Arabidopsis thaliana: one gene and its partners. The protein of the gene in region 2 interacts with the protein of the main gene of each other region in a pairwise test. Each region holds a gene or a part of one and is shown on either strand. Other genes may lie near its edges. The genes, in order: AT4G01090, AT2G39100, WOX12 and MAP70-5.

Region 1 (8,153 bases), on a different chromosome or scaffold from region 2:
CCACACCAACAACGATTACGATCCCTAGAGATTTCTTCACAAGTTTTTAATTCGATCTCTCAACGAATAACAAAACCCTAAGAGAAATCTCCGATTAGAAGTGAAAATGGAGAAGAGAGATCAAAGCACTTCTCGAAAGCACAAATCTAAGCCCCTCTTTGTGTTGTGTCCCGGCGGCGATGATAAAAGCCAAAAGACACAACCTACTGATTAAGCCTGAATCATAACGACGCCGTTTTAATGGCACATTTCTGTTGTGAAATATTTGCAAACCAACCCCTTGACTTAATCATGTTTTGTAAAATAGCCCTTTTACTTCGAAATGTGCGAAATTATTCTTCATTTGATTAAAAATCTGCACGTCAGCGGTGAAGTTGAGTGTGTGGCGATTAGTAGCCGCATTTGTGATTTTTTCTTTTTAGTGATATTTAATTATGTTCAACGTCACCTATCTTTTAAGTTCTTAAAAGGTTAAAGATTTAAACAATTATACACTTGATATTATATTTAAGAGGTTAAGGATTTAAAAACAAAAAAAAACAGTTTTAAAATGTTGTACACTCGAATTTCGACACTCTCGTTATTCAATTGTTAAAGAAGTTAGTGTAGAAAAAAAAGTTAAGAATTTTAAGTCAAGGGGTGTATGCAGAAACAATTGTTAGTTTAAGGATTTGTTTGCAAAGTTTTCTTATGATGTGGTACCATCAGGTGTTATCTAACGCGCGTTACTAAGTGCGTAAGATATACTCTCTCCATATATGTACGCCACGTGATAATGGTACAACTGTGTTAGTGCTTGATCCCGTTTGGTCAGTATGATCCATTTGTTTGGTTACTTCTTCCAGTCTTTGTAATACTAGTAAGTTTTCGTAACCACATCAATTTTGGGATCATAAAAAAAGTTGAAATACTTTCACACTACATACTTCACAGACTGTAAATTAGTTCTATCTATATTTTTATCTAAATATTGTTGGGCTTAATATGGAAGGAACGACAAAAAGATAAAATAATTTTCCCAAAAAAATTATTTTTGTTAAGTATAGCGGAGAGAGATTTTAACTTTTTCCAAGATGATATCGGGTTTGAATGATAACCACAATAATAATAGTATAGCTTTGTATAACTTTGAAAGTTACCAATCACAAAAACTTTATCAAAAGTGTTATTAAAAGTTTTATACTCACCTTTTTTTAATAATTTCTTTGTATAGTTCCTTCTAACAGCTTTGCACTATTCCGATAAATCTAACAGCTAAAAATCTTGTATACCTTTTGGTTACCAATCAGACCCATCATATAATGTATAAGAAAATTGCAACTATGCCATCAATCTTGTTTCTTGTCTTTTCATGTTTTGGAGGGTCCATACTCAAAACAACAAATCAATATCGAGTTTTTATGTTTAGTTATATACACTATCATTACTTTCAAAACAAAGAAAAAAGCCTTTAACAAAAAAACAAGTGGGTGTGTATAAAAGTAGATGTCGGACCACAGTTGATAAGAATCAAATACCGAAAGCCTTATGGCTATTATTCTATGTGATAATTATGTAGATCACACATAAAAAAAGTTCACCAGCTCATTACTCATACTCACTTACATGATCAAGTTCAAATTATTAAAATGTAAAAGTCTTCATGTAAACAAATCGGGCCGTTCTAAGCCCATATAATGAAGCCTGTTATGCACCTAAACAAATAGGGCCCTTTTATCAATTAGGGAAAGAATTACGGGCCTAAACAGCTCAGAAGTTCTGTCAATTAAACTCTGTGTTTCCTTAGTCTAATAACTAACCGATAAAATAGGTAGTAAAAAAGTCAACGATAGTTATCCCAAAAATGCAATGTTAATATTTTTGTCAAATCTGATTGGTGTTGGAAAGTGGACTATCTATAAATCCATCTTTAAATGATAGACAGAGACACAGAGTAGAAGACTTTACAGCTGTACGTAGCTTTTTGTATAAACCACAAAAATAGTCAGAAGGCGACCTACACTATGTGATCATATAACACTCCCCATATATCTTTCAAGTCTTCGTTTACGAGGTTAATATTTTTCAACGTTTAGGATCCAGGTTTCTTTTAGATTCAAGTTGTGAATTAGAAAACAAACAAAAGAAGAAGTTTTGAGAGCACGTCTTCTAACATGGAAGCATTAAACTTGACGTATTTTTATGGACTATATTAATCGATATGCTGGGAGGATGATGAAAAAATAAAGAATTTATATATAAATATTAGTTATTTAGGTAAGTATGAAAGATAAATAATATATAAACCAAAAAATTTTTTTTAAAAAAATTAATTACAAAAATGCTATTGAATAAAAATAATTGTAATATTCGGATGATAAGTATATAATTATTTGTTTAATGTTTTAAAAACTATGATATCGCGATAAGTTTATAAATTATTTGTTAAAACATATTTATCGATTTAAAATTGTAAATCAGAATTTTTTATTTATGTATATTCAGCACAATAAAAGGAAATTAGACTTTTTTATATAATTAACATGATAATAATTATAACTACATGATATATAGAATGATAACATGCTAATATATTATATAACAGAATAATATTTATATGAAAACGTTAAGATATTCGATACATGAATAATGTTTACTGTAACGGATAATTTATACATAATATTTACTAATAATTGTTAACGAGGTTAACCTGATGATAACAATGAAAATATTTAGTAACAAAACAATATATGAGACTTTAATTAAAAAAAAGAAAAATACAGAAGAATAATAAAGTAACTTCATTAGTTCTTTTACTGTTGAAATAGTCCACAATTCCTACACCTAATTTTTCAGTCTTCTGAGCATATAAAGTGATATTTTCCTATTTTTATTTACTTTTTAATTGTATTATAATAATATTTGGGTATTTTTGGTTATTATAATAATATCTGAAAATATTATTGATATTTTTGGTTATTTTTATATTTTTACTAAAACAACCGAACCGATCCGAATCCGAACCAAAATCGAACCAAGTTTTTAGAATATCTGAATGGTTCTCAACCTCTTCATATCCGAATAGATTTGATATCCAAAAAAGAACCAAACAGATAGGGATACCCGAATGACCAGACCTAGTATTATTGATATAAAAAAGGTTGCTCAATGTATAATTTCATTTGACTAGCTGGTCTGTTTTCGTACAAACACACTCACAAAAGTACGAAAATAGGAAGTCGTCTTAGTTTTAGAAAATAACTATTGCTGCTTATTGGCATATATTGAAAAATCAAATACTACTAGTAATCGTAAGTTCTAAATTTGAATGTTTTTTTCCCGAGTAATTGAATTGTTCTTAGTAATTAAGTTCACAAATTTGGAAAATTGCGATATCTGAGAACGTATTAATTTACCTGTCGGTAAACAGTCACACTCATGTTTCTAGATTTCGTATATTTTAGTAATAATTTGGTTAGTCTCCTTATCTGCGAGTCAACGAGACCCGGTCCGCTCAACCGTACTACAGTCTAAATTCTAGTTTCACGCGCTTACTTACATTACATACGCGCTCATCTCTTCTTTACTCAAAAGTTTTAAAAAACGAATATCAAATCAACGCTAACAAAGTTTGATTTTTTGCTTCCATCTTCTTCCCCTCCTTAAGTTTTCAAATCTATTCATCAAATTTTCTTTTGTCTTTCCCTTAAGATTCCCGGGAAAGCCAAGGAAAAACGCTAGAAGAAAATTAACATAATAATGTTAATTGTTGCTTAAACCTTCCAGCTCAAGTTTGGTAGTAAGTAAGCAGACATTTAATCCCCCAAGAAGCAATTGAAGAAGACTTTTAATTCTTCTGAATTTTCTTTCCAAAAACCCCTTTTTAGAAAATTGGTTGCATCATAGAGATTGGTTCATTTATTCCCACCGGAGAAGATCATCAAATTCGTCTTCTCACCTATATCGCCGACGACATTCTTCACGGTTCGTTTGATTTCTACCTGTTGGTTCTTCGTTTTATCTGAATTCAATCGGAGATATATGTTTTTGAGTTCGAATTTGATAAAAAATCGAAACTTTTTTGATTTGAATCGCAGTTGGAAAAAAACAAAGCAAAACCCTAGAAATAGTGGCTGATGAGGTCGCGAGGCGATGTCTCTGAAGCAGAAGGTACGAGATCAGATGCTGGTTCTTCAAGAAGCGAAGAAGAAACGAGTCTGAAGGAGAAACACTCAAATTCGCGAGCTGGGTCTCAAAGATCTGGAAAAAGCTTGAGAAATGACGAGCCTAATTACGGATCAGATTCTTCATCTAAGAACACAAGCAGCAGCAACAACCCTATTGAGTATACAGAGCATGAACGAGCTGAGCTTTTAAGAAGGTTAGATTCTATCAAAGATCATCTACTTCGCGGTGGTGGTGGTGGTAATAATGTAGTTGATAAACCTAAAGAACCAGATCAGAATCAGCCTTTCCTTAGACCAGTTCATCTTCATGGTCATGCTAATCATAATCCTGGTCCTTCTTATTACCATCAGTATCCAGAACCTATTCAATACCCTGGACCGGTTCATGGAATGTATCCTCAAGCTTATCAAGATCCTTATGGGTACCAAAGAAGACCACCTCCAGTTCCTAATCCAAACTGGTATCCTCCTGGTCATTACCCTAATCAGATGGCTCGTCAGTATCCTGGAGGTCAATATGTTGAACTTGGTCCTGATATAGTTGAGCCACATTCTTACTATCCAGCTACTCCTGGTAGGTACGGTGACCTGCCTCCGTATAGCCCGGTTTCGTCTCACCATCGTGAAGAGAAACTCGCTACACAGTACAGTGATATGCCTCCGTATAGCCCGGTTTCGTCTCACCATCGTGGCGAGAAACTCACGACACCGTATAGTCCACGTGTTAATAACGGTTCGAGTTTTCCTTCTTCGATGGGCACTCCAGGTCCTCGAGGTGGTTATGCAAGGTGGCCGAGTGAACATGATTCTGAAATGGGCGGTGCTTTTGCTCGTGGGTATGTTAAGAAAGCTGTATCGGATACTGGTGTTCGACGTTGTCATCCTCTTGCTGGTGGTGCTCCTTTTATAGCTTGTCATAGTTGCTTTGAGCTGCTTTACTTGCCTAAGAAGAAGCTTTTGTCTCAGGAAAGGTTACATAAGCTGCAGTGCGGTGCTTGTTCTGAAGTTATTAGTTTCACAATCGTTGATAGGAAACTCGTTTTCTCTTCTGGTAATGAGGAAACAAAACCGGTCTCTCTAGAGGTTGAAGATAGAAACACAACAAACACAGTAGTGATAGAGGAGGAAGTCTCTTCTGTTGATTTCAACAGCTCAGGTAGAGATATTCCACGTAAGGATGAAGAAGAACCAGTGCAAGAACTGAGAAATCATCAGGATACTATTACTACGCAAAGCGTCCGCTCTGAATCTCAACACTCAGATGATGAAGAAAGATCGAGCAATTCTAGTGAACAACAACAGAAGGAGGTCAAATCTGTTCGTCGGCGAGGTAAAGGGTCAAAAGCACCTGAACCCGCTGCTCCTGATAATGCCAGTCTCCTTGAACTTTTTGAGTATTCTAATGTAAACAGAGCTGCACTCGCTTATGGAATGGCGCAGTTAGGTTATGAAAAGCCAGATAAGCAAAAGTCTTTCATGACACAGGACTCGCTGAAACCAGAATCAGTAGCTACAGAGACAGAGGTTTCTTACAATGGATACTCTAACACCGAGATCTCAGAAGATTCAAGGTACTCAAACAGAAAGGGTAGTGAGTACGGTTCGACAGAGATCACAACGAGGTCCTCTACTGATCAAAACGAAGACCAGATGAAGTCATTAGAGGTTTGGGTTAATGGACATCTTATACCAGAAGATCTTGTTAGCAGTGCTGAGAAATTAGCTGGACCAATCCAAGCTGGAAAGTATTGGTACTTCCATGAACTTCAGCATCCACTGTTTCTCTCTTGTTTTTGTTTTTCCCTTTACTCAGTTTCTGATACATGTCTCTGATTCAGGTATGATTACCGAGCTGGGTTCTGGGGAGTGATGGGCAAACCGTGTCTCGGTATAATACCTGTAAGTACCTTCACATTGTTCTCTCAAGTTGATTATTGGAATGGTGTCATCAAATTGATGAAGAAATGGTTGACTTACTTGTTGTTGTTGCAGCCATTTATTGAAGAGTTTAGCCATCCAATGCTGGATAACTGCGCTGCAGGAAACACAGACGTGTTTGTGAATGGAAGAGAGCTTCACAAGAGAGATTTCGAGTTACTTGTGGGTCGTGGTCTGCCTAGAGACAAGAACCGTTCTTACATTGTTGATATATCAGGAAGAATCCTTGATCAAGATTCAGGAGAAGAACTTCACAGCCTTGGCAAATTAGCCCCAACGTAAGCAGATTCACACAAATGATTTTTATTCTTTTGAGATTTTGAGATCACCTAAGATTCTAAAGTTTTAGTGTGTTAAACTTGAAACAGGATTGAGAAAGTGAAGCATGGATTTGGTATGAGAGTTCCAAGATCATTAGCTTCATGAAAACTCCCCCTAGTAACAACTACACAACCAAAATATGATTCTGCTTCTTGTTTCCATCTTCATATTATTTATTTGTTAAACACAACTGTAAAGTGTTTTTTACATCTTGATTTTGATTTTTGGTATTCTTTTTAAAATATCTTTGGGGAAATGTCTGTATGTTTTTTATTGCGACCAGAACCGGTTTAGGGGTTATAGACTGTATACAAACCGGGTTCTCTCGGTACAAGGTTTGTGCTTTGTATTATTTCCATTTTTTTATGGAATGATATTAGTTTGCTCTTAATGACTTTTTTTTTTATCTCTTTTATTGCTCTTTTGTAAGTTGTAACAGAAGCTTCATCGATAACATGGTTTACTCCTCCTAATTCCTTATTATCTCTGGTTTAACTAAATCGTTTATTTAAACCGGTTTTGGTTTGTAGGTTTCTTTCATGTCAGCAACAATATATGTAGGTCATTCGACCATACTCAACAATTCAATTAAACAATGTTCTCCTAGCTGATCTTTCTTTCTTCATGATTAGCTTCTAGGCTTGATTTGCCCTTTCCTCGAGTTCTAGGTGAATTATGGATTGGGATTATCTATCTATCGGTTAGTTATCCGGTTTCATCTTTCTTTCCACTAAAATGTTCATATTGTCTGCTAATTCCTCTCTTGGCTGATGGACTAGTTTTTGCACGTTTCTGAAGTGGGTCCTTCCTAAAATACAAGACAACAGATTATAACTTACTCATGGGCCCAATATCAATATCAATATCAAACAAGAAAGAGAATCTGTTCTTAACAGGCCTCGTGGTCCGTTCGTTTAGTTTTCATGTTTCAATATTTCTTAGAAAAATACAAAATTAGAGTAAGAACAAAAAGATACTAACTAGTAGCGAGCATGAGAAAAACGAGTAAGCAGAAGTTGTCCACTAATAATAAAATTGTGAGGAATCAAGAAATTCTCAATACAAAAAAATTTTAGCAATGAAGAAATAAAATAAAATATTATTAGCAATAATTGGAGTCACTAGAATGTTTCATATCTCTTTATATACTAACACTAGTGTTAGTTCATTCACGCAAATGTTAAAAACCAATTCTACCATTGTTAAACTTATACCAAATATTTAAACTAGTTACCTGCATCATTCTAATAACTAATAAGTCTCATGAATTCACAAACATAGCAATGTTTTGAATAACCCAATATATCATCAAAAAGTGTGGTGCTTCCGTGTTTGCTAAGTTCCAAGATTCAAGAGAAAGGTTGATATTGTTGTAACGAAAGGCTGTGGAGATACAAGTATACCACCTAAGTTGAGATAAAAGGTGTGAGGACCAAAAGCAGGGCATGTGCTTCTTCACATAAATTAAAAGAAAAAAACTCAAGTTATTACTAATATGTGATTAATAAACACAAGGACAATGAGACCATCTGGGCTGGTCCAACATATTTTTGGATTCCTCAAGCAAAGTTGAAAAAAAAAAACTTTTCTGAATTTTTTAATCAGAATTTCACTATCAAAAGTCATAATTGTAAAAAACAAATCCTGAAATATTCTTTATTCCATTTCCAATATATATTGCTGTCACAAAGAAATCTACAAAAATATTTGTTATAACTTAAAAGAATG
Region 2 (6,737 bases):
TGTCTTGAGCAATCTTCAGTCTGGTGGACCAAGGAAGAGGAGTGACTATAAAACGATTGGATAAATGGTCTTGAACACTTCTGTTTTGTACGTATTCGTAAACAAGTAGCCGTTGGATCCCTCTCTCATCATCCTCAGCGCAATAACCGATCAGCTTCACCAGATTCGGATGCTCCACTACTCCCAATACATTTACCTCTGTCACCCATTCTTTATGCCCCTGTTAATGCATACGTAGTTGTTTTTATTGTTGGGTACTGAAGGAGGTTGTGTAAAACAGAAGCAAACTAAAGAGAGAGAAAAAGATTTGCTTGCCTGTAGACCTCTTCTACTAAGTTGTTTAACTGCAATATCAATCTTTTTACGAGAATCTTGAGGGTTCTGAATCACGCCACGAAAGACACCACCAAAGCCACCTTCACCGATCATCAAGGAGCGGCTGAAGTTCTTGGTAGCGGTTTTAAGGTCATCGAGGACAAATACTTTGAGATTATTACTGTGTGTCTCTGAGAGGACGTGCAAGGAAGAAGTAATGGAAGTAGCAGTACTTGTATCTGAATTAAACTCAGACCCTGATCCTCCTCTAGCCATCGTAGCTGAACCAAACTTTCTAGTCTTAGCTTCATCATCCTGAGTTTTGTCTTTGCTGAAGTAGAAACATTTCATTGCCTTAGATGAAACCAGCCTCTTCACTATCCAAACCAGGTCCACATTCCAAGTCAACACAAACAGAAACACGATCAGAGATGAATTAACAGAGATAATCACCAATCATTCAATCCATACCAGATATCAAGTTATCAACACAAAAATCATCACATTTCAACTAGATTCCCTGACATTTGGAAGAATGTAGAACAAAAATCGATATACAACACAAAAGTAGAAATGTGGTAAGAGTGTTGAGAATCAGAAAGGGAAAGAGAAGAAACCTGATGTAGAATTATTCATGAGGATGAATGGAATGCTGTGATGGGGGTCTTCATGATCATGATTGAGAGAGCTTTAAAGCAAAAGAAAATGGTAGAGAAAGAGATAAGAGGAGAAGAGAGAAGACGAGCTCACCATGATCGAATGGGGGAAGTCAAATAGGCAATGGCAGCTGGATTGCCGCTTACCAACCTATAGAAGAAGCCTTTTATAATATTTTATTTTGTGTTACACCCGCTTGCTTACTTATATCAATCAATACCTTAATAGAGAACGCGTTGTTTATTAAAAAAATTTCCCCGTGTATATTCACCATTTAATCTTTAAGGTACGGTTTAGAAGAGAAATTCAAATGAACTTTCCTCTTCTATGGAAGCTTCGTGTAATTTATCTAAAACTATGTATAGTTTTAATTTATTAAAAATTGATAGTCAAATTATAGAAAATATTTAATGTTGTTGAAATAGGTGGTACTCGAAACGTAAGAAAAAATGATGAGGTGAGGAAAAGCGTTGGAAAGAAACTTTGGGGGTGAGAATTTTTGGTATAGAAGAGACGTACATTATGGAAGTAGAGAGACTAAGTGTCAGCTATTTGAGAATCCACCTATAGCTATCTCAAAACTAACTCCACACCTAAACTTGCATCATCTCAACATCTTCCTCCTACCTACTCTTTAACTCTTGGTTTCTCTTACTTGGTCCAGTCTTTCCACTATTGAACTTCCAAGACACCAACAGTCGCGTTGTAAGTCTGTCTATTTACTTCATTTGACGAGAGCATAGTGCTCGGTTATCTGCAAGCGAATACAACATAATGACTTCAGAAAAAAAACCATCGAAGCAAAACAGGTTCCTACTTAGTGAAACCAAACCCACATAATACATATCCTAATTTCTTTACCTGTTTTTTTTACTGCTATTACTCCACCTCATTGTATTCAACCACTGCATCATAAGTCTCCATCGTGAGTATACTCTCCGCAAAACATCTGAAAAATGTTTTCTTTCTCATCAGAAATAGTATATGACCAAAAAACCTAAACCAAACAGATATCAGCTCTATCATCTGTTCAGACTTACAAGTCACTAGGTTTAGGTTGCCTATGTGTTTTCTGTACTACTATACTAAACCTGTAACTACTTGAAACTCTGAAAAAACCCTAGCGTATAAAAATCTTACCTTAGTTCATGCCAAAATATATCCACCTTATCAGACAAGAATTTTCGAAGAGAGGAGACTTCATCTTCCACCAACATCCCGGTCTGCCCGGTTTGTCGATTATTCTCTCTCTCAAGCCTTTTGATGAAAAGAGCTGACGCAAAATGAACAATAACTGAGGGATCAGGATCTCCAAGGACTGCCTGAAGCTCTCTTCTAATCCATGGCTCAATTCTTTCAGTTATCTTTGCTTTGGTGTAATCATTCACCGCCAAACTCTACAATAATCCAAGATGACACAACGAAGCAGGTATATATAAGGCTTCCAATGTGAACATATATCCAATAATGTAAGAGTGTAAACCCCAATACTACAAACATCAAACAGAGAAGAACACATTGTATAATGAAACTTACTAGTTCCAAGCGCCTTGAATGTAATCGAACAGCTCGTAATTGCTTAGTGTATATGCTGTATTTAGAGCCAACACTAGTTAGAAACAACGGCGAACTAATCTAACACTTCGAAAAAGGAGATTGCAAATGAAGCTATAGAGTTAGAATCAATAGTAAACCAACCTAGCTCGCCACTGAAGCTTTCGCTGGAAGATAACAGAATCAGGAACTGAACCTGGTCGTCCAAATGATCTCCGCCATGGCAATGGCCTTGATCTTGAGCTAGAGTTTTCCAAAACATCCCTCGACCTTTGAATTATCCTAATGAAATAATAACCAAGTGAATATAATAAAGAAGTGATTTTTAACTTCATAGAGAGGATCTTAGAGAGAGAGATAACCTCCGGCGATCGGAAGGATTATTCCGATGATAAGTTAAAGTCTCACGATCACGAAGAATTGGTAATTGCTCCTTATGGTATTTTCTAGAAGCAAAATCACTAACGATAAACCAGGAATCAAAACGAGTGTTACAAAGAGGACAATTCCTCTTGAAGCTGCTCCACTTCCGAATACAAGCAAGGCAGTATCCGTGCTTGCACACCGTGATCACGGCGGCGGATCTTCGCTCGGTTAGATTTTCGAGGCATATCGGACACGATTTCCCCTGTAAAGCAGGAAATATTGCTCTCCCTGCAAATTTCGCGATACTTTCCGGCGATCGAAGATGTCTCGAAGACGAAGGCGCCGTGGAGGACGGTAATGGAGGCATGACCGGAGATAGAGATTGTTCGGTGAAGTCGGGCTCTTGGAAAAGTCGGGTTTTAATGAACCGAGATGGATTTCAGATAGATAACCGGTTAATGTCGGTTTGGGTTGACTCGGTTCGAGATTTCTTGTTTCAAAATGAAGAGCGAGCGTGAAGGATCTTTTACTTCATCGCTGCTCCGAAGAAAAAACTTCACCATTGCCACTAACGACGAACTCTCTTGTCTCTGAAATGGAGGTTCCAAAGGAGCAGATCGCGACTTTAATAGAGCATGGGCTTTACGATTCTGCTGAAATGCTCGTAACTTCTCTAGCTTTTAGCTCATTTTGATTGTCTATCTCTTTTTTTCTAAATCCCTAGTTTTCATCAAGAGCTAATGAAATTCTCTCTATATATGCAACTAAATCCAGGGCTGCTTTCTCGTTTCTTCTCCTACTGTTAGTGCCGAAACTAGTCCTCAGCTCAAGGCGGAGAATTTGGTTAAGCTTCTTTCTCCGTCGATATTTTCTATTTTAGTAGCTGCTGAGTCCGTTAGATTGAAGTTAGATTCTTTCTGTGTTTTTTAATCAGATTCTACTGGGTGATGCTTTATTTCATCAGAGAGAACACCGGAGAGCTATTGTAAGTTCTCAAAAGTTTCATTCTTTATGTTTCTCTTTTGCTGTGAAGGAAATGTTACTCAGTTCTCGATAGTTTAGTTCTGCCTCAAATTTGAACTCTATAAATCATTCTCGGAACTTGAATTTGACTGGATTATGATAAAATTGTAAAGATTCTGATTATATGAATTTATGGAGTGAGCAGAGATAAGTTTTATATTTGTATTGCTTATTCTTTTCCTGTGGATTACTTTGAAGTCATCTCGAAATTCTGAATATGTATTCCTTCTTTTTGTCAGCATACGTACAAGCAAGCGTTGCATCATTACACAAGGATTCCGAAGCAAAGCTCCGGTATTTCGAGGAGTTCATTATCTTTATCTACCAGATCATCTGTGAATGCCTCCAGCATTTCTGCTATTAATGAGAACGAGGTAAATAACTGTGTTGCAGTTTCCAGAAAGTGATGTGGTTTGGTTTAATTTCATTGGAGTTCATGTGCATCTTCTTTTTCTAACTTTCCTTTTAGGTGAGATTCAAGATTGCTTCATCTCACTTTGCTCTTAATGAAACAAAAGCTGCGATTGCTGAGGTATGAGTGTCATCTGTTTGTCTGGTTTTCAAGATTTATTTAGTCTTCTGGATTTGTTGGTCTAGAAACTTTGGTATATAGAAAATAAAATATGTGTGTATGAGACGGTAAAAGAGCTGTCTAGGGATTTCTCTATTTCTAAGATTATAGATTGGTTTTGTATAGGATGACTTTTATGTCTTGCTATTGTATTTTATAACCAGAGTTAAGTAACTGTAATTTCAGTGAAACATTCTTGGGCCGTAACTAATGCATTGTTATAGTATTCCTGAATGTGAGTTGAATTTTGTTGCGTTGACCTGCTCCCATCAATGCAAATCCATATTACAAAACAAGTAAACTAATTGGATTCCTTCCAACACTGCATGTAGGTATTAGGGATGATAAAGCCATGGTCTGCTTAGCTATAATCTATTTTTGCACTTGTTATTTCTTTGCCAGATGGAATCTGTCAAGACCAGGAGCTTAGAGATGAATATACTGATGGCAAAGCTTCATCGAAATTCTGGATACAACCGTGGTGCTATTGCTTTTTATAAAGAGTGTTTAAGGTCTGTTTTTCGTTTTCTTTCCCAACATTTCCTAGCATAGAAACACTGTTATAATATCTCACTTTTTACGTTAAATACCAATTCAACACATAGTAAACATATATATAATCTTTAATCTCTGCAGGCAGTGTCCTTATGTACTTGAAGCCGTCATAGGTTTAGCTGAACTGGGAGTTAGTGCAAAGGATATCATATCATCGTTTACTCAGGTGTCCCTTTCTACGAGATTTCTTTCACCACTTCTTCAAATGTGTTTTGCACCTCTTTCTCTCTATTTTGCAATTACCTTTTCTGTGTGAAATCCATACAACTTTGTAATTTGTTGTGTCATTTGTTCATTTCAGACTTCAAATAGAAGTGCAAAGGTTTCACTCGATCAGATAGATCCTACCCGCTGGTTGCAAGTAAGCTTACTCTTTAACAGGATTTACAACGTTGAAAATTGTTTGAAAGTACACTCATTAATCATGCCGCCAAGCTGATTATTGTACGTGAGTTAGAATCTTATTTTATCAACTATTTTCCCCCGAATACGACTTCATATATAATGATTCTAAGAATTCTGTCTTCAAGCTGTTCATGTGTGGAAAGTGAATAAATCGTCTTAATAGTATTATTCCCTTTAACAAAGTAGTGCTTTGATGTTCTTGTGTTAGTAGAAGCTCGACTATTTAACCAGGAAACTAATACTCCACATAACTTTTCTTGGATGGATGTTTCATTGGTTTCATGTTGTAGCATACCTGGCAATAAAATCTATTTTCTTCTTTGTCTTTTTCGGTAATTTTTCTTTGTTTTCACAGCGTTATGTAGAGGCCCAGTGTTGTGTTGCTTCGCATGCTTACAAAGGTAGCTCTCTTTTCTTTTTGGGATGCCTATGCCTACAATGGATGAAATAAGGCATTTAGTTCTTTTTTTTTAACCTTGTAGATTTCATTTCTTGCATTTTATTTGTGGGAAATTCTGCAATCTGATGCTTGCTTTACTGGATATGGTGTAATATTTTTTTGTTACTCAGGGGCGCTGGAACTCTTTGCTGAACTCTTACAACGATTTCCAAATAATGTACACTTGTTGACTGAGACAGCAAAGGTTAGGGATGACATCGACTACGATGCAAACAGAATTTCACCTGAATTTTTCATTTTATCATGACTGACGCTGATTGACATTTATTTCATTTGTATAGGTTGAAGCCATTATTGGGAAAAATGATGAGGCCATAATGAGATTTGAGAAGGTAGTCACCACATGGATATTTTTTTCTCAATTCTCAACTTCTTTAATTCATGCATAATCATCTAAAAGCTTTTATAGGTTCGGTCAATTGATCCTTACACACTAACCAGTATGGATGAGTATGCGATGCTGCTTCAGATTAAGTGTGATTATTCCAGGCTAAACAAGCTCGTCCACGATTTATTAAGCGTTGATCATACCAGAGCAGAAGTATTTGTTGCTTTGTCTGTACTATGGGAAAGGAAAGATGCAAGGACGGCATTATCTTATGCTGAGAAGGTTAGCTTTTTTCTGACACTGAATTTTTGTGCCAAAATCTTTGTGTGATAGCTCATGACATACACTATGCAATCAGAGTATCAGGGTAGACGAGAGGCACATACCCGGCTACATAATGAAGGTAAGCTAGTTCAACGAGGAGTTTATTTATTTTTAGTAAGTTTGCATATATATATATATCCACTAATTTGTTAAGACGTCAGGGAAATCTACTTTTACAA
Region 3 (9,113 bases), on a different chromosome or scaffold from region 2:
ATATCACACTTTGCACCCCAAAAAGCACCTATTTTCTTACAAAATATGATAAATCATTTTGCACACAATATTATGTTTGTGGAATACCTGAAAACCTAAAAAAATCATTGGAATAATAGCCTCATGATTAACTTAATTTCGATAAACCTGGTGAAAAAATGTTAGAAAACCGTCCTTCGATAAAGAAAGAACCGGCCTTTTTTTTTGCACACAATATTATGTTTGTGGAATACCTGAAAACCTAAAAAAATCATTGGAATAATAGCCTCATGATTAACTTAATTTCGATAAACCTGATGAAAAAATGCTAGAAAACCGTCCTTCGATAAAGAAAGAACCGGCCTTTTTTTTTGCACACAATATTATGTTTGTGGAATACCTGAAAACCTAAAAAAATCATTGGAATAATAGCCTCATGATTAACTTACGATAAACCTGGTGAAAAAATGCTAGAAAATCGTCCTTCGATAAAAAAAGAACCGGCCTTTTTTTTTTGCACACAATATTATGTTTGTGGGTGAGATAAATATCTAGGTGATAGGTCACTCTATCAAATATTTGTCCGTACAATAAAATGGATTAATTAAGGATTGTGTGCAAAAGTGGAGTGAGAAGTGAATAAAAAATTTGGCTTTTGACTATAAATATTAGATAATGAGTAAAATGTGTATACTTCCCTATATTCAGATAGAGTAAAAAGAAAAGCGATCGTCATGTGTATTGTCAGGATGCATGCATATCAAAATTATAATGACATATGTGTTCTCTATTTCCCCTATATTAATTTTGTCTTCTTTCTAGTTACTTTTAGTGCCCCTATGAGTGCTCTGCAGATTCACCGGCCAAATCAACAAAACTTGCTTCATATGCATCAGCTCTATTTGTGTAAACTAACTTACAATGTTGATTGAAATCTTTTTTTTGTTAATTATATGTTCATATATAAAATCTTTTTTTTGTTAATTATATGTTCATATATACACTGCTCTATATATTCTTTATGCAACATAATGATGCATATATATATATATATATATAACCATTTAAGCTATTTTATACTACAAGTTTTGCATAGAATCGAATACAGTTTGAGATTTTAAAGATTTTAAATTTATTTTCACGAAAGCACACGAAAAGTGATCAAATGCACTTGTCACGGTTATGCTTGCCGTTCTGCAGTAGCATTAGTTTTTCTTCTGGTTATTAATGGTTAATTGTATTGCTAAAGAATAAATATTGTTTAATACAAACGCAGAACCTTTAGTGATTATTTACACACTACATATGTCCAACACATCTTCTCATACATATTATAATAAAGGGTATGTCTTAGTAACATCATGCAGGTATATAATGGGAGAGTCCGTACCGTACATGTTACAGAGCAGGACCACATAAGAAAGATTTCTGAAGAAAGAAGTCTCAAAATCTTACAAGATTTTGGTCTTCAGGACCACAAAGAGAGTGGCTTAAAGGTAACTTTTGTGAATCCTCGTACAGTTTCTGCCTGATCCCTAGGGGTCTACTTTATTCTTACTATAAGACTTTTACCAATGTCAATTTTTTATTTTCTAATACGTCATGACGTATTGTGGGCAAGATATTAACTGCAGAGTAGCTAGAGACTCATTTGTATTTTAATCCTAGACGTCTTATATATGAATCTAATAAGTATTATTTTATTATATGATACTCCGTTTTTGAGGATTTTAATATATCAATTTATCTGTTTAGTTTAACAAAACATATATATAGGTCCATTACTAAGTGAGTTTTGGACCAGTGGCGAGTTTTCGGATCCTCCAAACATTATAACGTTATTGAGCTTCCTAATTCGATTCCACTTGACATGAAGACAAAAAAAAATTCAACGAGAAAATATAGGGATTTTGGCTCATAACTATTCGATTAACACGTGTTCAGAAAAAAAAACTAATCGATTAACCGTAGTTAGTTATAAAAGATTTAAGTGCATCAATATATGTAATATGTATATATTGGGTTTTACTTCAAGTCTCCAACGTCCCAAAAGCAATTTTGGGATTGTGGTTTTGGATGATGGGAAGTGGATAGAGATCGTATAATTTGTCTGTGTATGGTTACAATGGCCCTTAAGAAATTCAATAGAACGTAACATAAAAAAGGAAGAAAAAAGGACAAGGAGCTAGAGAAGTTATAAAAGACAAGTAATACCCAGTTGTATCAAATCAGTCGCACTCGGTAATATAAAAATGTGTTTTTAAATAATTGCATAATCTTTTACCGCTTACAATATATGCATGATGTAAGAAAAAAAGAAAAAAAAAAACAGCTGTGCAGCAGACGTAAGTTATTTAGCTGTTTTGATTCCTTTTATTTTAAAGAAGTCACGGGATGATTAGTTCACACTACTGCTAGTAGTAGTTTGGCTGTTTCCTCATGGGCATGAATTCTAAAAGGGAATTCTAAAACCTAGCAAAACAAATATTATAAAAATTTCAGTAAAAGTGTGTATATATTAAGAGTGGTAGGTCTAATTTATGAGTATCCGATTAGGTTGTTGTAGATCAAGATTAGACTACCAGTACCTATTCACGGATAAAAAAAAATTCATTAGAGATTCTTAACCAAAAATATCACTAACAATTTAAGATTAGAGAATTTTGAAAAAAAAAAAAAAAACACGCCGGATAACTTGATGGTTATTATTTTAAAAGGTTGCCATGTGAAAAAAAAAAAAAAAAAAAACAAGATAAAGTAAAGGTACAAAGAAAACTTGTTTTTTTTTTGTTAATATCAGCATATATTATATGCATGTTTGAATATTGATGTAAACACACAATAACAACATTAACACACATGACATATGTACTTTTAGTAAGATATAAGATCTTACTAAAATAAAAAAAAGTATGAAAATTAAATATACAGATACTTGAACTTTTTTAGAGAATTAAAAAAAAATTGAAACAGCTAAGCAATTAACATAAATCGTCAAAAAACCAGAATGCATCTGAAAGAAACAGATTGTCGCCTCTTGTATCTTTCAACACTCTTAAAACTTTTAACGTATATTATATTTGCATACGTACATGCACACTAACCAATACGTACACATACGGTACACGGACAGCTTTATTATCAAATAAAAGGCGGTAGTTAAAAAATAAATATTATTAATATTGTACTCTAAAATCAAACGTTAAATGTTATTGTCAAAAAAGGAGTATAAATCATTTTATCAAATCAATTTTTATAGAGTTGATTCGTGACATAGCTTACAATTTTTATTTTCTTCTTTAATTCGAGTTTTGGATTTAATAGTTTAAAACACGTTAAAAAGACAATGATTTGAGTTAAAAAAGAAGAAGACAATGATGCTTTAATCATGAAACAGATACAACGTTAGATTTTATTATTTTTACATCTGCTCGTAACGAAAAAGTTCTATAAAATTTTAGCTGTTTTATCTTTCTTCTGAAAAATTATCGTATAATATTTTAATGGATTTAAATATACACCAGCTAAAATAAGGTCTATCCGATCATATAGCGACGTGATCAGGATACTTAAGTTCCATTTTAATCCAGTATTTAATTTGTATTCTAAAATAAACGCAAACGAATTCTAAAATGTAATGGACTAAAGATATATTGATTGCTGTACCACCTTGAACTAATAAGTAATTCTCGTGGATATACTAGTAAAGTACTTTTCATTGGTCATTGGTCAGATACAACGCAAACGTAACTTGGAACACTAAATTCAAAGGTGAAACAAAATCCTAAGTATCTATTTCTTGTCATTTTTATTGTTAGTTTATAAATTCTCGCTCAACTATGATATATTTAAATAAATTCTATTATATTAATTATTACATGATTTTTTCGAGTTAAATATTTAAAAATGACTCTACGTAGTACGTACATAGATTTTTGATCGGCTAATGTTGTTATATATGTGCATGAGGTATTCCCAAACTTGTCATATCAATCAAAATCTCAATCAAAGACAAGTTCTACTTGACAAACAAAATCTTTTTGGCCTCTGTAACTCTGTTGCATGACGTCGATAATCTATTGTCCACATTTATATCTAAAAAGCAACCAGATCGCCCGAGGTTTGTACAATTATTTGCTATTTAATAAAGATAAATTTATGAATAACTTGCTAAACATCTTGATCATATCTACAGCAGAAAGCAAGACAAATAATAACCGGTGTTTTCACAATTGCATGTATAATCATATTTTGCTATACGAATTTGCAAATTTTATACATTTTTTGGGGTGTGAATATTATCAATCCGAGAACACAGATAAAAGTTGTATTGTAAATTCAAAACTGAGAAAAACGTTAACCAGGGTTTGTTTGTGAGTTGGTCCAATAATGCAATGGTGGAAGCATTTCTTGTTAGTTTTGTTATACAATCAAATGATATACAAGAACAGTTTTTAACCCTCTGCCTCTCGGAATACGTGTTAACATATTCGACCGTGTCCTATATAATATTTAATTCTAAGTGAGAGCACTAAAATAGTGTAACTTAATATTTAAGGAAAACAAAAAAGAACTCATTGAGAATCTCTCTTCTGTATATATTCAATACATATTACATAAATCTTCCCTCAAGTAACCACAACATCTCCTTTCTCTTTTTCTTAAAATCCATAATCCAACCAAAAGAAGAAAAAAAAACAAGAATCTTGATAGCAAATGAATCAAGAAGGTGCTTCACATAGCCCATCCTCCACTTCCACCGAACCAGTCCGGGCACGTTGGTCACCTAAACCGGAGCAAATCTTGATACTCGAATCCATCTTCAACAGTGGTACTGTTAACCCACCAAAAGATGAAACGGTGAGGATAAGAAAGATGCTTGAGAAATTCGGTGCTGTGGGAGACGCAAACGTCTTCTACTGGTTTCAAAACCGACGGTCAAGATCTCGCCGGAGACACCGGCAGCTTTTAGCAGCCACCACCGCAGCCGCCACCTCCATAGGAGCTGAAGACCACCAGCACATGACGGCCATGAGCATGCATCAATATCCTTGCAGCAACAACGAGATTGATTTGGGGTTTGGAAGTTGTAGCAACTTATCAGCTAATTACTTCCTTAATGGATCGTCGTCATCTCAAATCCCTTCCTTTTTCCTCGGCCTCTCTTCTTCAAGTGGTGGGTGTGAGAACAACAATGGTATGGAGAATCTCTTCAAAATGTATGGCCATGAATCTGATCATAATCATCAGCAGCAGCATCATAGCTCAAATGCTGCATCAGTTTTAAACCCATCTGATCAAAACTCCAACTCCCAATACGAACAAGGTGAATCATTCATTCATCTGCATGGCTCATATTTTTTTTTAACACCGTAATACACATTGAGTTTTTAGATCTTAAACCGGGATACTTTCCAACTAAATCAACATTTTTCAAACCATTTAAACTATAAATATTTGGATGAGTAATTTTTATATAAATAAAATTTTGAAAGTGAAAAAGAAAGAGCCAACCATTTTTTCTATGAGGGTTTAAAACCAAATTTTTATGTTAGGCTAACTTTGTATGTTGAAAGCTAATTCTCAAATCTCTATTTTTGTTCTTGTATCTATTGTTCTTTTCTTTTTTTCCAGAAGGGTTTATGACGGTGTTTATAAACGGAGTTCCTATGGAAGTAACAAAAGGAGCAATAGACATGAAAACAATGTTCGGTGATGATTCGGTGTTACTTCATTCCTCTGGTCTTCCTCTTCCCACTGATGAGTTTGGTTTCTTGATGCATTCTTTACAACATGGACAAACTTATTTCCTGGTAACTAATAATATATAATTCACTTTTTATTGTTAATTTATACACGATAACAAAATGCTCATGGTTAATATTTTCATTAATGATTTCCACACCTATTTTCTGTTTAAAACTTTTTTTTTGTTCATCCGAAAACGATTTTCTCATGATTAAATTCATTATTTTTACCATTGTTTGACCCAACAAACCATAGTTATATTTGTAAATAAAATACCATAAGATATTATGTGTATTTCCTATTAAATTAGTATGTTAAAGTGTGTAGAAAATGGTCTTAAGCCTAATAAATAGTCAAGTCCTAATGTCTGCAGAAATTAACCTCAAGAACCCATCTCACTCTCTGGAACTATAACATAAAAATATTTCTGCAGAAAATATAATAAAATATAAATCAATTTGATGTTTGTCGGTTTATGCATGTAATAAATGAATATCGTTTTTGTAGAAATTAATATCTGTAACTGAAGTTTTGTGATTTAACTAAGCTTTACGGATTGATGCAGCTCATATATATGGATGTATATATGTGACCTTTTTTATTTGGTCCAAGTTTTGATAAATATAAATATGTAGTATATATTATTTATTTTTAAAAATAAAGAATATAGCCAAAAACACAAGAACCAATAACTCCACTTTTGAGTAATTTTGTAAAATATTGAGTTCATTGGTCGAAGAGACCTTGGGAATTTATATTCTCTCTTGGCAAATGAATAGACGGTGTCTTTGCTCAAAAAAAGAAGAAAAAAGAATAGACGGTGGATATATAAAATGATGTTAAACCATTTCTCGTTAGGGTTTTCATTTTTCAATATTATCAGTAATTAGTGAACTAGCAGTTTTAAGAATTAAAATGCTCTAATTATTCCCTAATTAAGAATCTGTTTTTATTTGTTTTCCTTTTGTCATCGACAGGTACCGAGACAGACATGAACTGGCTGTTTTATGTGGGAACATATACGGTCGATTGTTTTCTTTTTTACCTCTATTGATTTCGTGTCTATCGTGTATAATTAGATTACAAATAAGTAATAATAAAAAGATTAAATAAATGTTGGACTCGTCAGATATTTTGCTTTCTTGTCGATTCTTGCTCGCCTGAACACAAACCTTATCTATCAAAACAAGCCAAATCTTAATATTTTTTTTTTCCACAGCCAAATCTTAATTAGAGATCTAGTTTGTGGAAAAAAGATGTCCCTCGGACTTGATATATTTAAAGATAATCCAAAAAATTAAACTGGTATGTACAAAAATCTTGATTTTTCGATGTAAATAGATCATCTTAGTACATAGCTGATCTAATCTATTTATCCAATGGATGAAAGGTATTAAGGTACTTTATACCATTCTCGATCGAGGATTATTATTTCTGTTTATCCTAGAGGATAACATTTAACATATCTTATCAAGTGAACATTTTTAATTTCTTAACTAACCAAGTGAACAATTAAACGAACAAAAAGAACTAAATGAATGACGGAATGAGAGAGCCAAAAGTAAAGTGTGTAAGTAATATGATTATGATTTTTTTTTTAAACAGAAAAATCAAATATAATGATTTAAATGCGAATCATAATCATATCACTAACAAAGTGCGTATATTTCTATATATGAATAGCAATTTGTAAAGTACACTAGTACAAATACAGTACTCGACACAGATCGCTAGTTACCATTTTTTCTTCTTGGGGATGTCAATTTTGTGAACTTGATATAATAATGAAAGAAGGGTAGGGTTTTTTTTTTTTTTTTTTTTGAACAGAGAAAGAAGGGTAGGGTTAAGTTCAAAATTACGACAAGAAACGAGTAAGCCCACTTCTATGTGAGCTTTTTGGACCCTTTGTAAATGAAAGGTACGTCTATATATGGGTTTCTTTTGTAGTCCTAGGCCCAACTTAACAATGTAGCTGGTATCCGATAATAGGGATCCGAGCCGAGCCGAGTAATTGAGATTTTAAATTTAAACAAGAACTCATTTCCCACGTTGATTATTTACTTAGAAATTCCTGAATTATTTATATATGTGACATTCCAAAAATAGCAGATAACATCCTTCATGTAATGCACTATAAAATGCAATAGGTTTATGATCAAAGCTTGTAATTTACCAACAAAAATAACTCGCTGGTTTTAGTTACTGCTATTGTTTCATAATCTATGTTAAATTTGCGTGTGTGAGTAAGGAAAATTGCAATATTTTATGAACACTTATTCTAATTCTACAGAAAAGAGGTTGATTATATATTCAACTTTTTATTTTACTTCTAGGTTTTGTTTTTGTTTTCAGTTTTCCCTCATACCGCTTACTTCTTCCAAAACCCAAATTAAGATGTTAAACAAACATGCCTAATTAACCAGGAAAAATAGAAGAAACTAAAGCCATTTCTTATCTCACAATTCCTCAGCATTGAACCCTAGCTCTGCAACTAATTAATCAGGAAGCTCCAACTCCAAGAAAATCAAAGTAGTAATAGCCACTCCTCATCTTCATCTCCACCTTTCTTTCACTGACTGAGATTGTGTGGTGATTTTGATGGTCCATCTTTTTACCATATATGCCATTTACTTCTGCTCTCTGCACACACTGACCATCTTTGCCTGCAAAATTAGAAAAATAAGTTCTCAGCACCCACGTGAAATTTTGTTATATTGAAATAGTAACGTGACAATAGTACTTCACCTCCTTATATTATTATGCCTATAGGTACTCTTACGATGTAAAAACAGTTTCTTTCTTTTCTAGTCATTCAAATTTATAATTATTGCCATGTATATGAAAAAGTGTAGGAAGTGGTCACTCGTCGTCGGTTATACAACATGTCGGCCTAAATTATCATTTTATATGCTTTGAACATTCAAAAATTAACAAGACTGGAATCTAATAAGCTAAATTTAGACCACAAATGATATTTGGAAGTACCGGTTAAAGTATAAACCGATCATGATCAACGATACACCCAATAAAGATTGCAATACGATCTCGACCAACCGACCGAGATCATTATAGTTAGATTCACGAAAACACTTCTCAAGAAAGCCGAAAACGAAAAAAAACATTCCAAGTTTCTATACTTTTAATGTCTTGGGTCATGAAAATAATATATTTTCAATAGAGAAAAAAAAAAAACATAGTAAACATAATATTTAAGCAAATAAATAAAATGTTACCTGATGCAAGGGTACTATCGTAATTAAAGAAGCGAGGCTGGTAAGCTGAAGAAGGCGGAGTGAGAGAGAGCTCCGTCGTACAAGTAGAGACAGCTGACACATCGTCGTCGTCATCTTCTTCATTGATGAACTTACCTTGATTGTAGCGGCAAG
Region 4 (7,933 bases), on a different chromosome or scaffold from region 2:
GTCAGTCTCAGGCAGTCCGATCCAACGGCTAGGCACTTACATGGCAGAAGGGCTTAGAGCGAGGCTTGAGGGGTCTGGGAGCAATATATACAAATCCTTGAAATGCAATGAACCAACGGGAAGGGAACTGATGTCTTACATGAGTGTTCTCTATGAAATCTGCCCCTACTGGAAATTCGCGTACACAACTGCGAATGTTGAGATCTTGGAAGCAATAGCTGGGGAAACCAGAGTCCACATTATCGATTTTCAGATTGCACAGGGATCACAATACATGTTTTTGATTCAGGAGCTTGCGAAACGCCCTGGTGGGCCGCCGTTGCTGCGTGTGACGGGTGTGGATGATTCACAGTCCACCTATGCTCGTGGGGGAGGACTCAGCTTGGTAGGTGAGAGGCTTGCAACTTTGGCGCAGTCATGTGGTGTCCCGTTTGAGTTTCACGATGCCATCATGTCTGGGTGCAAGGTGCAGCGGGAACATCTCGGGTTGGAACCTGGCTTTGCTGTTGTTGTGAACTTCCCATATGTATTACACCACATGCCAGACGAGAGCGTAAGTGTTGAAAATCACAGAGACAGGCTGCTGCATCTGATCAAGAGCCTCTCCCCAAAACTGGTTACTCTAGTAGAGCAAGAATCCAACACAAACACCTCGCCATTCCTGTCACGGTTTGTGGAAACACTGGATTACTACACAGCGATGTTTGAGTCGATAGATGCAGCACGGCCACGGGATGATAAGCAGAGAATCAGCGCAGAACAACACTGTGTAGCAAGAGACATAGTGAACATGATAGCATGTGAGGAGTCAGAGAGAGTAGAGAGACACGAGGTACTGGGGATATGGAGGGTCAGAATGATGATGGCTGGGTTCACGGGTTGGCCGGTCAGCACATCTGCAGCGTTTGCAGCGAGTGAGATGCTGAAAGCTTATGACAAAAACTACAAACTGGGAGGCCATGAAGGAGCGCTCTACCTCTTCTGGAAGAGACGACCCATGGCTACATGTTCCGTGTGGAAGCCAAACCCAAACTAGATTGGGTAAGTTATAGTGATGATGGTTACTTGAGTGGATAAAGAAGAGCACAACAAAAACACATCTGTCGCTGTAAATTTTTTAGGATGTGCAATGATGTTTTAAGTTGTAACACAACCTAAGTTATATATGTATACAAACCAAACCTGGTGGTTGTTTTTCTCTTGTAAATTGTCATGTGGTTGTGGGTGGGTTGCTAGTAATGAAATATAACCAAAACATTGATTAGGTCATTTTATGATCTTCTTCTATATATACCGGTATAAGTCAACTGGCGGCTGAACAAAGGTCGTGAGGTAACAAAATATGAGACAAATCTACAGGTCAGATTGGGTTCTGAATTCTGATAAGGTCTTAAAAAGGAGCTCACCAACCCACAAAACCATGGATTGAACAAGTACAGGTCATTGCCTTCATTTTATTCTTTACTTTTCTAAGGCTCAAGCTTCCTTTATTGCCTTTAATAACAATATACTAATGAGTATTTTGCACTCAGTAACAAAATTCAGGAGAGTAATTTTTTGCCCTAACATGTTACTTTTATGTGTTAAGAGTTTAGAATTTTGGATCTATGATTTTAGTTTTTGTTAGGGAATCATATTCATATAAATAAAATATTGCCATTGACTTAATTGTTGTTATTCACCTAATTTCTCTCCAAATTTGGTCATTTACCTCAGTTGATTCTATATTATACTTGCTAAGTGTTCTTTGTCTAATTCTCTATCATTGTTTGATTTAATAATAACCAAACCTTAAGACTTGGAAGCAAAGAAGAGAGAAAATCCCAATTAATTTTTAATAATTCAAAGAGAGATATTGAGTGACTTCCACTAATACAAAGAAAGCTTGGTTTGTGCAATATTTTGCGGTTAAGCTATTAATTGCTGAGGCAACACCTTTTCACACTTTGCTTTCCTTCTTCCAAGTTTTCAACTTTTCTTTCTTACTCTTTCTATTAATCAAACTGCAACACAAAAATCATTTGGATAATACATGTTTAGAAGATGATTAAGCTTTAGTTTTATTTCAAGATTATCATAATTGTTATCTGTTGTTACCTACATTCATATAATCTTATCAAAAACGATAAAGACAAAAAGGGGATACAATATAGGTTTTTATTATAAAGAAACAGGAAAGAAAGAAAAGGGTTTTCACCAAACGAAATTAGTTCAATCATTTAAATTATCTTTATCCTTATGATTAGTGTCTTTATATCTGTCATATGCTGCTTCTCCTTCCAACTTCCTTTGGATTATATTCTCTTCTCTTTATTTTAATTTCCATTTGTGGTAGCTGTTTTATTTTTTGTATTTTCACGCCGTGTCCCTTTAAAATAATATTAACTACACCACTAATGTTGGAACATGAAAAACATGAATGAGGTAATTATGATGATGAACCAAATGTTAAGGACAAGCTCGGTGTAACTAAGAAGATAATTAGTGAAACAGAACAAGTCAATAACTTGTAAGCATTTCAGAATTGAAAATAAAGATAAGGGAGGATGAATATGAATTTAGTAAATGGGTAATGAAAGTGAAAGAAGAAGAGGGAAGGGTTGGTTACTGTCTCAAGGGTTTGAAATGGAGACGGTTGCTTGAGAATGAGGAAAAAGAGTTAGTAAGTTTTTAACTCTCTCTTTCTCTCTCCCTCTCTCTTTTTCAACGTCAATTCCTTTAAGGAATGGCCTCTCTCTCTCTCTGAAAGTGTGTGTGTATATATTAAACGACTCCATTTCTCCTCTGCTTAGACCAAAACTCATCTTCTATACTGCAACAAAGAAGGAGGAGCCGTTGAGACTACAAAATGACTGCAGCAGAAAACCCTTTTGTATCTGACACCTCTTCTCTGCAAAGCCAGCTTAAAGGTTCTTATTTTTCTTTCTGTTTATTGTTCATCAACCCTTATGAGTAATTTGCTTGATGTTGAGGTTGTTCTGCTTTCTTTTAATTCCACTCTGCAGAAAAAGAGAAAGAGCTTTTGGCTGCTAAAGCTGAAGTTGAGGCTTTGAGAACAAATGAAGAGCTCAAAGACAGAGTCTTTAAGGAGGTAACATGCATGATGATCATCAACTCTGTTTGTGATTGTTCTACAAAAACTTTAAGTCAATCTTACCTATAAGTTTTTTTGATCAATGTTTTCCATATTCAAACTGTCCTTTTTGAGCTTCTTGAGCTCTATTGATGCTACTTGGTGTTGTTTCAGCTTAGAGAAAACGTGAGGAAGTTGGAGGAGAAACTTGGAGCCACCGAGAATCAAGTTGACCAAAAGGTGAGGTTTTGCTCAAATACTATAGACCATCTTTGTGAAGGACTCATGTCAAAACATTAGAAATGACTAGAATAAGTTAAGCTTGTGACATGATTGTAGGAGTTGGAGAGGAAGAAGCTAGAAGAAGAGAAGGAAGATGCATTGGCGGCACAGGACGCTGCAGAAGAAGCACTAAGGAGGGTTTACACTCACCAACAGGACGATGACTCTCTACCCCTAGAATCCATCATAGCTCCTCTTGAATCTCAGATCAAGATTCACAAGCATGAGGTTCTTAAGACTATATGTATTTCAAATTTCTTTCTTGTATCAGTGTGAAGTGCCAGATTTTCTTGACATGCTACTGTTTGACAGATTTCTGCACTTCAAGAGGACAAGAAAGCGTTGGAACGTCTAACAAAATCAAAAGAATCGGCGCTTCTTGAAGCAGAGAGAATCTTGAGAAGTGCCCTTGAACGTGCTTTGATTGTTGAAGAGGTCCAGAACCATAACTTTGAACTTCGACGACAGATTGAGATATGCCAGGATGAGAACAAGTTTCTTGAGAAAATTAACCGCCAGAAAGTGTTGGAGATTGAGAAGCTCTCCCAAAGCATTGTAGAACTGGAGGAAGCGATCTTGGCAGGAGGAACAGCCGCCAATGCAGTTCGAGACTATCGCCGCCAAATCTCCCAGCTCAATGCAAGTGTTCTGTTTAGTTTCTTGTACTTCATTCTCACATTTGTTTTAAAGGAAAATCACATGATTTTTTCATCGTTACCAGGATGAGAAGAGAACCTTAGAGAGAGAGCTAGCCAGAGTCAAAGTGTCAGCAAGTAGAGTGGCACTTGCAGTTGCTAACGAGTGGAAAGATGAGAACGATAGAGTCATGCCTGTAAAGCAATGGCTTGAAGAGAGAAGGATTCTCCATGTACTCACTGCTTTTCACTTACACATCCAGTTAATACACACTGACTAGCTTATATGGGAAACATTAGTGTTGAACTTTGTGTCTGTGTGCAGGGAGAAATGCAGAAATTGAAAGATAAACTCGCTGTTTCCGAGAGAACCGCTAAGGCTGAGTCCCAGCTAAAGGTGATTGCTTATGTAGTTAATATTCTGTTGGTAAAAAGTGTAGTTTCTAATGCAAGTAAACATTATAGGAGAGGTTAAAGCTTAGGCTGAAAACCATAGAAGATGGCTTGAAGGGCCCAAACACGTTTTTCGTCTCTCCAACTACAAAGACTGAAAAATCTGGCAAGATTTTAGGATTCTTGACCAGTGGTGGTGGCTCAAAGAAAAGGTCTAGTTCTCAGCTAAGAGGCTCAGTTACAGGCAGAATCCATGCTATGAATCAGCCAATTGACAGAGTTGGGGAAAGTGATGAAATGGAGAATTCAAAGATTACTGCAAACGGATTGACTGATCAACATGAAGAAGATAGCGAAAGGAAAACAGAGGAAGATGGAAATGTTTATTCTGAAGATATGGTTTCAGGGTTTTTATATGACAGGCTTCAGAAGGAAGTGATTGCTTTAAGGAAGCTATGTGAGAGTAAAGAGGGTACTATAAATGCCAAAAATGAAGAAATCAAGGTAACTTCATCATCTTCTTGTGGTTGTTTAAGATCCTCAACTATATGAAACCTCTTAAGATACCTCTGTTTTTAGATGTTGTTGAAGAAGGTGGATGCTCTAACGAAAGCCATTGAAGTTGAGACAAAGAAGGCAAAGAGGGAAGCCGCAGCGAGAGAAAAGGAAAACGCATTGGCAATGTTGAATGAAGAGTCAAAACTATGTAGAAAGGCAAAACTACCGAGAAGGTTTGGTCATCACATCCTTTGTTGTTTGTCTTTGTCTTTTGAGAAGTATACATAGTCAAACATCAAGACAGTTGATATTTATATGTTTATGCTATGTTGTGCAGCCGCATACCCAATCCACGTTGCCAGTAGAGGAAGAAGAAGCTTATGGGATTGAATACTAAAGAATATGGTCTAATGTTAGGTTGTACTGTACATATTGAGTATTGGATGATGGATTATAAGAAAGTGAAAACTAAAGATCAAGAGATGTGTATGTGTGTTATGTATATCGGATTGCAAAGCCATGTTTCCAGATGATGACACAAAACTCCTCTCTCTTCTCCTACCAATTAGTTGAATGTTAGCAATTATCTTGGAAACCTATAAGTAAATCAGAATCAGCTAAACACAAAAACATGCATATTCTCTCTCAAAGTCATACATAACCATATATGTCTTCTCTCAGATTTTTTGGTCTTGCCTTGGTTGTTAGGCTAACATAACAAACTTTGCATCTAATATATATATCATAATCAGTTACAGGATCGTATGATCTCTGTAGTAGCAAGAAGATCCAAGCTTGAAGAAAACATAAATTTTATTATATACAAGAAGAGCATGAAGAACAAGATTTACAAAGACTATCTCTCTTTCTCACAAGAAGTGAGAAGGAACCATATAGAAATAAAGTCAGGACTGATCTTTCCTAGCAAGATTAATTTACAGTCTCTTTTACATGGTGCTCTCTTGTAAGGTGATATTTCCAGCTGTATAGACACGAGAGCCGTTGGAAGAGGAGAGGAGTTGAATACCTCTGTGAATCTTGGAAGAGCATCGATACGGTTTAGGGACAGAGAGTGTTTTAATGATACAAGCCTTGTCTAAGTCAGGAATCGCGTGGAGGTGAGAAGGAAGATCGATGACGAATTGCCCCAACTCATTTGTCACAGCTTTGATCCATTTAGATCTCCTCCTATGTCCAGTATGGCACTTGAAGCCAATAGTAGCTCCTGTATGATGATGATGATGTGTTAGAAATCTCGTAGTATATAATATAAGGAATACGGACCAATCCACTTATTACCAACTGGTTACGTACCATGAATAGGGGAGGAGGAGGAAGAGAGAAGAGAGGCGGTGAGAAGAACAGAGGAGAGTTTTTGTTCGCCGTAGCCAGCCATCTCCACCATCTCATCTCTGCTCCATCTATCACTAAATGCTTCCCCAAACGTCACAATTAATACCAACGTCATGCTCATCAACAAGAACCTCATCTTTAATCTTCAAGGTCGTATATATGTGAAAAACTACCAACTGGCTTAGAAATGGAACAAGCAAGGATGTGTTATATATATACACACACAAAAATGAATGGATTAGTTGAATAAATTAAGAATATGAGATCCTTATTTTGCTTTTTTATAAGTAAAAATGCCTCTTCCATAATTTGACTTTTATCTTTTTTGGTCAAATTATATGACTCCTTAATTATATATCTCCTTGCTTATATAATAGTAGAAATTACTTGTTTGCCTAATCCTTCTTTCTTCTTCTTCTTTTCTTCTTCTAGTTAATAAATTTGATCAATCTTTGATCAATCTTTGGTCAAATATCAGTACGGTATGCGACGTTTCTTCTTTACAAATGTCTTTATTTTTTTAATATTATGTTTCAAAGTCTAACCTAAATTTAAAGTCACAATTGACAAATAATCAAGCCTGCCCCAACTGTTTTTCTTTTCTTCTAGACATTTGTCTTTGTCCCAAAGACAACTTTTTTGGGAGAGTTCTTGTGTGGGTTGGTTATCAATAATCTCTCCAAGGATAAATACAAAAATGTTTATTTGAATGATGTGTCTATGATGACCTATCAATATTATAATTTCATTCAATCTCTATTTATTGCATTTTCTCAATTATAACTACACAAAAAGATCAACAATTTCACATAATTATAGTGTTATCTTTAACTAAAAAGTGCATCAGGCTTTTATTATTTATAGCCAATATATATATATATATATATATATAAATATATAATTGTATATTTCATTGTTATATATATATATAATTGTATATGTCATTGTTATGTAATTGTGATAGTTACCAAGAAGGAAATATCTAATTGTTATTTTTAAAGTAGAGTTATTTTTTTTGTTGACGTATCAATGCAATATATATAGTTTTGTTAATTAAATTATTTTCTATAGATAATTTCTTACAAAAGATATTATTAACCAACAACTGTTGATAAAATGATAGAAATAAAAATAAAAATAAACAAATTATATCAACACATACAAAATGTATTCAATAGTTTTAAATCAAATCTTAATTAATTAAAATTTTCATTTCAGTTGCACAACTATAAACATATTAATAACAAATTTGATTTCTTAAATAGTTTTCAAAAGTGTTACACAAATAAACCCAAAAGGAATAACTAAGCAAGGGGTTTAGGTGAACGGTACGGTACACAAATCCGAACCAAATCCACAAAATGACCACCAAGCACCAAGTTTAGAATAGCCGGTCCAGATTCTTTACTAATAAACTTCTAGACTCAGGTTATATTCAATTATTCATCTTAATAACGAAATTATCTTATTTCTAAATACTATAATGTATATATCAGTATATAGACATGTTCTTATTTTAGGAGTCAAGATATTGATGTTTTGAGTTTACCAATGCCCATGCCCCCAACAAAAGAAAACAAGATTAATAATCAAAATTGAAAATAGACAAATAGATAAAGGAAGACCTTAGAGTGACAAAAGACATGAGCGCAAAACATGGCGACCCTCTAGTTCATTATTTGGAAGACAAAGATCCTAA

What was found.
Region 1: the proteins of AT2G39100 (region 2) and AT4G01090 interact in a two-hybrid assay, tested with the Arabidopsis thaliana proteins (one large-scale study listed by BioGRID).
Region 3: the proteins of AT2G39100 (region 2) and WOX12 interact in a two-hybrid assay, tested with the Arabidopsis thaliana proteins (one large-scale study listed by BioGRID).
Region 4: the proteins of AT2G39100 (region 2) and MAP70-5 interact in a two-hybrid assay, tested with the Arabidopsis thaliana proteins (one large-scale study listed by BioGRID).

Annotation. Positions count from the first base shown.
Region 1 is NC_003075.7:469,211-477,363, reverse strand, and holds AT4G01090 (hypothetical protein (DUF3133)), read left to right. Parts: upstream 1-3,484; 5' UTR 3,485-3,963; intron 3,964-4,076; 5' UTR 4,077-4,115; coding exon 4,116-5,917; intron 5,918-6,004; coding exon 6,005-6,065; intron 6,066-6,158; coding exon 6,159-6,382; intron 6,383-6,472; coding exon 6,473-6,530; 3' UTR 6,531-6,858; downstream 6,859-8,153.
Region 2 is NC_003071.7:16,313,984-16,320,720, reverse strand, and holds AT2G39100 (RING/U-box superfamily protein), read right to left. Parts: upstream 3,366-6,737; 5' UTR 3,260-3,365; coding exon 2,889-3,259; intron 2,809-2,888; coding exon 2,671-2,808; intron 2,564-2,670; coding exon 2,509-2,563; intron 2,370-2,508; coding exon 2,113-2,369; intron 1,922-2,112; coding exon 1,852-1,921; 3' UTR 1,834-1,851; intron 1,727-1,833; 3' UTR 1,334-1,726; downstream 1-1,333. Other genes in the region: AT2G39110 (Protein kinase superfamily protein), read right to left, coding at 1-220, 316-692, 933-951; APC7 (tetratricopeptide repeat (TPR)-containing protein), read left to right, coding at 3,488-3,556, 3,667-3,735, 3,827-3,877, 4,155-4,289, 4,385-4,447, 4,889-4,998, 5,123-5,207, 5,343-5,402 and 6 more.
Region 3 is NC_003076.8:5,878,185-5,887,297, reverse strand, and holds WOX12 (WUSCHEL related homeobox 12), read left to right. Parts: upstream 1-2,527; 5' UTR 2,528-2,736; intron 2,737-4,544; exon of another isoform or gene 4,545-4,668; 5' UTR 4,669-4,695; coding exon 4,696-5,305; intron 5,306-5,613; coding exon 5,614-5,792; intron 5,793-6,704; coding exon 6,705-6,722; 3' UTR 6,723-6,855; downstream 6,856-9,113. Other genes in the region: MYB56 (myb domain protein 56), read right to left, coding at 8,227-8,390, 8,961-9,113. UniProt on the Arabidopsis thaliana protein: Transcription factor which may be involved in developmental processes.
Region 4 is NC_003075.7:9,654,321-9,662,253, reverse strand, and holds MAP70-5 (microtubule-associated proteins 70-5), read left to right. Parts: upstream 1-2,677; 5' UTR 2,678-2,848; coding exon 2,849-2,909; intron 2,910-3,005; coding exon 3,006-3,091; intron 3,092-3,247; coding exon 3,248-3,313; intron 3,314-3,412; coding exon 3,413-3,583; intron 3,584-3,667; coding exon 3,668-3,994; intron 3,995-4,076; coding exon 4,077-4,223; intron 4,224-4,315; coding exon 4,316-4,387; intron 4,388-4,455; coding exon 4,456-4,887; intron 4,888-4,962; coding exon 4,963-5,114; intron 5,115-5,218; coding exon 5,219-5,246; 3' UTR 5,247-5,602; downstream 5,603-7,933. Other genes in the region: SCL13 (SCARECROW-like 13), read left to right, coding at 1-1,036; AT4G17215 (Pollen Ole e 1 allergen and extensin family protein), read right to left, coding at 5,829-6,106, 6,196-6,370. UniProt on the Arabidopsis thaliana protein: Plant-specific protein that interact with microtubules and regulates microtubule dynamics. May play a role in anisotropic cell expansion and organ growth.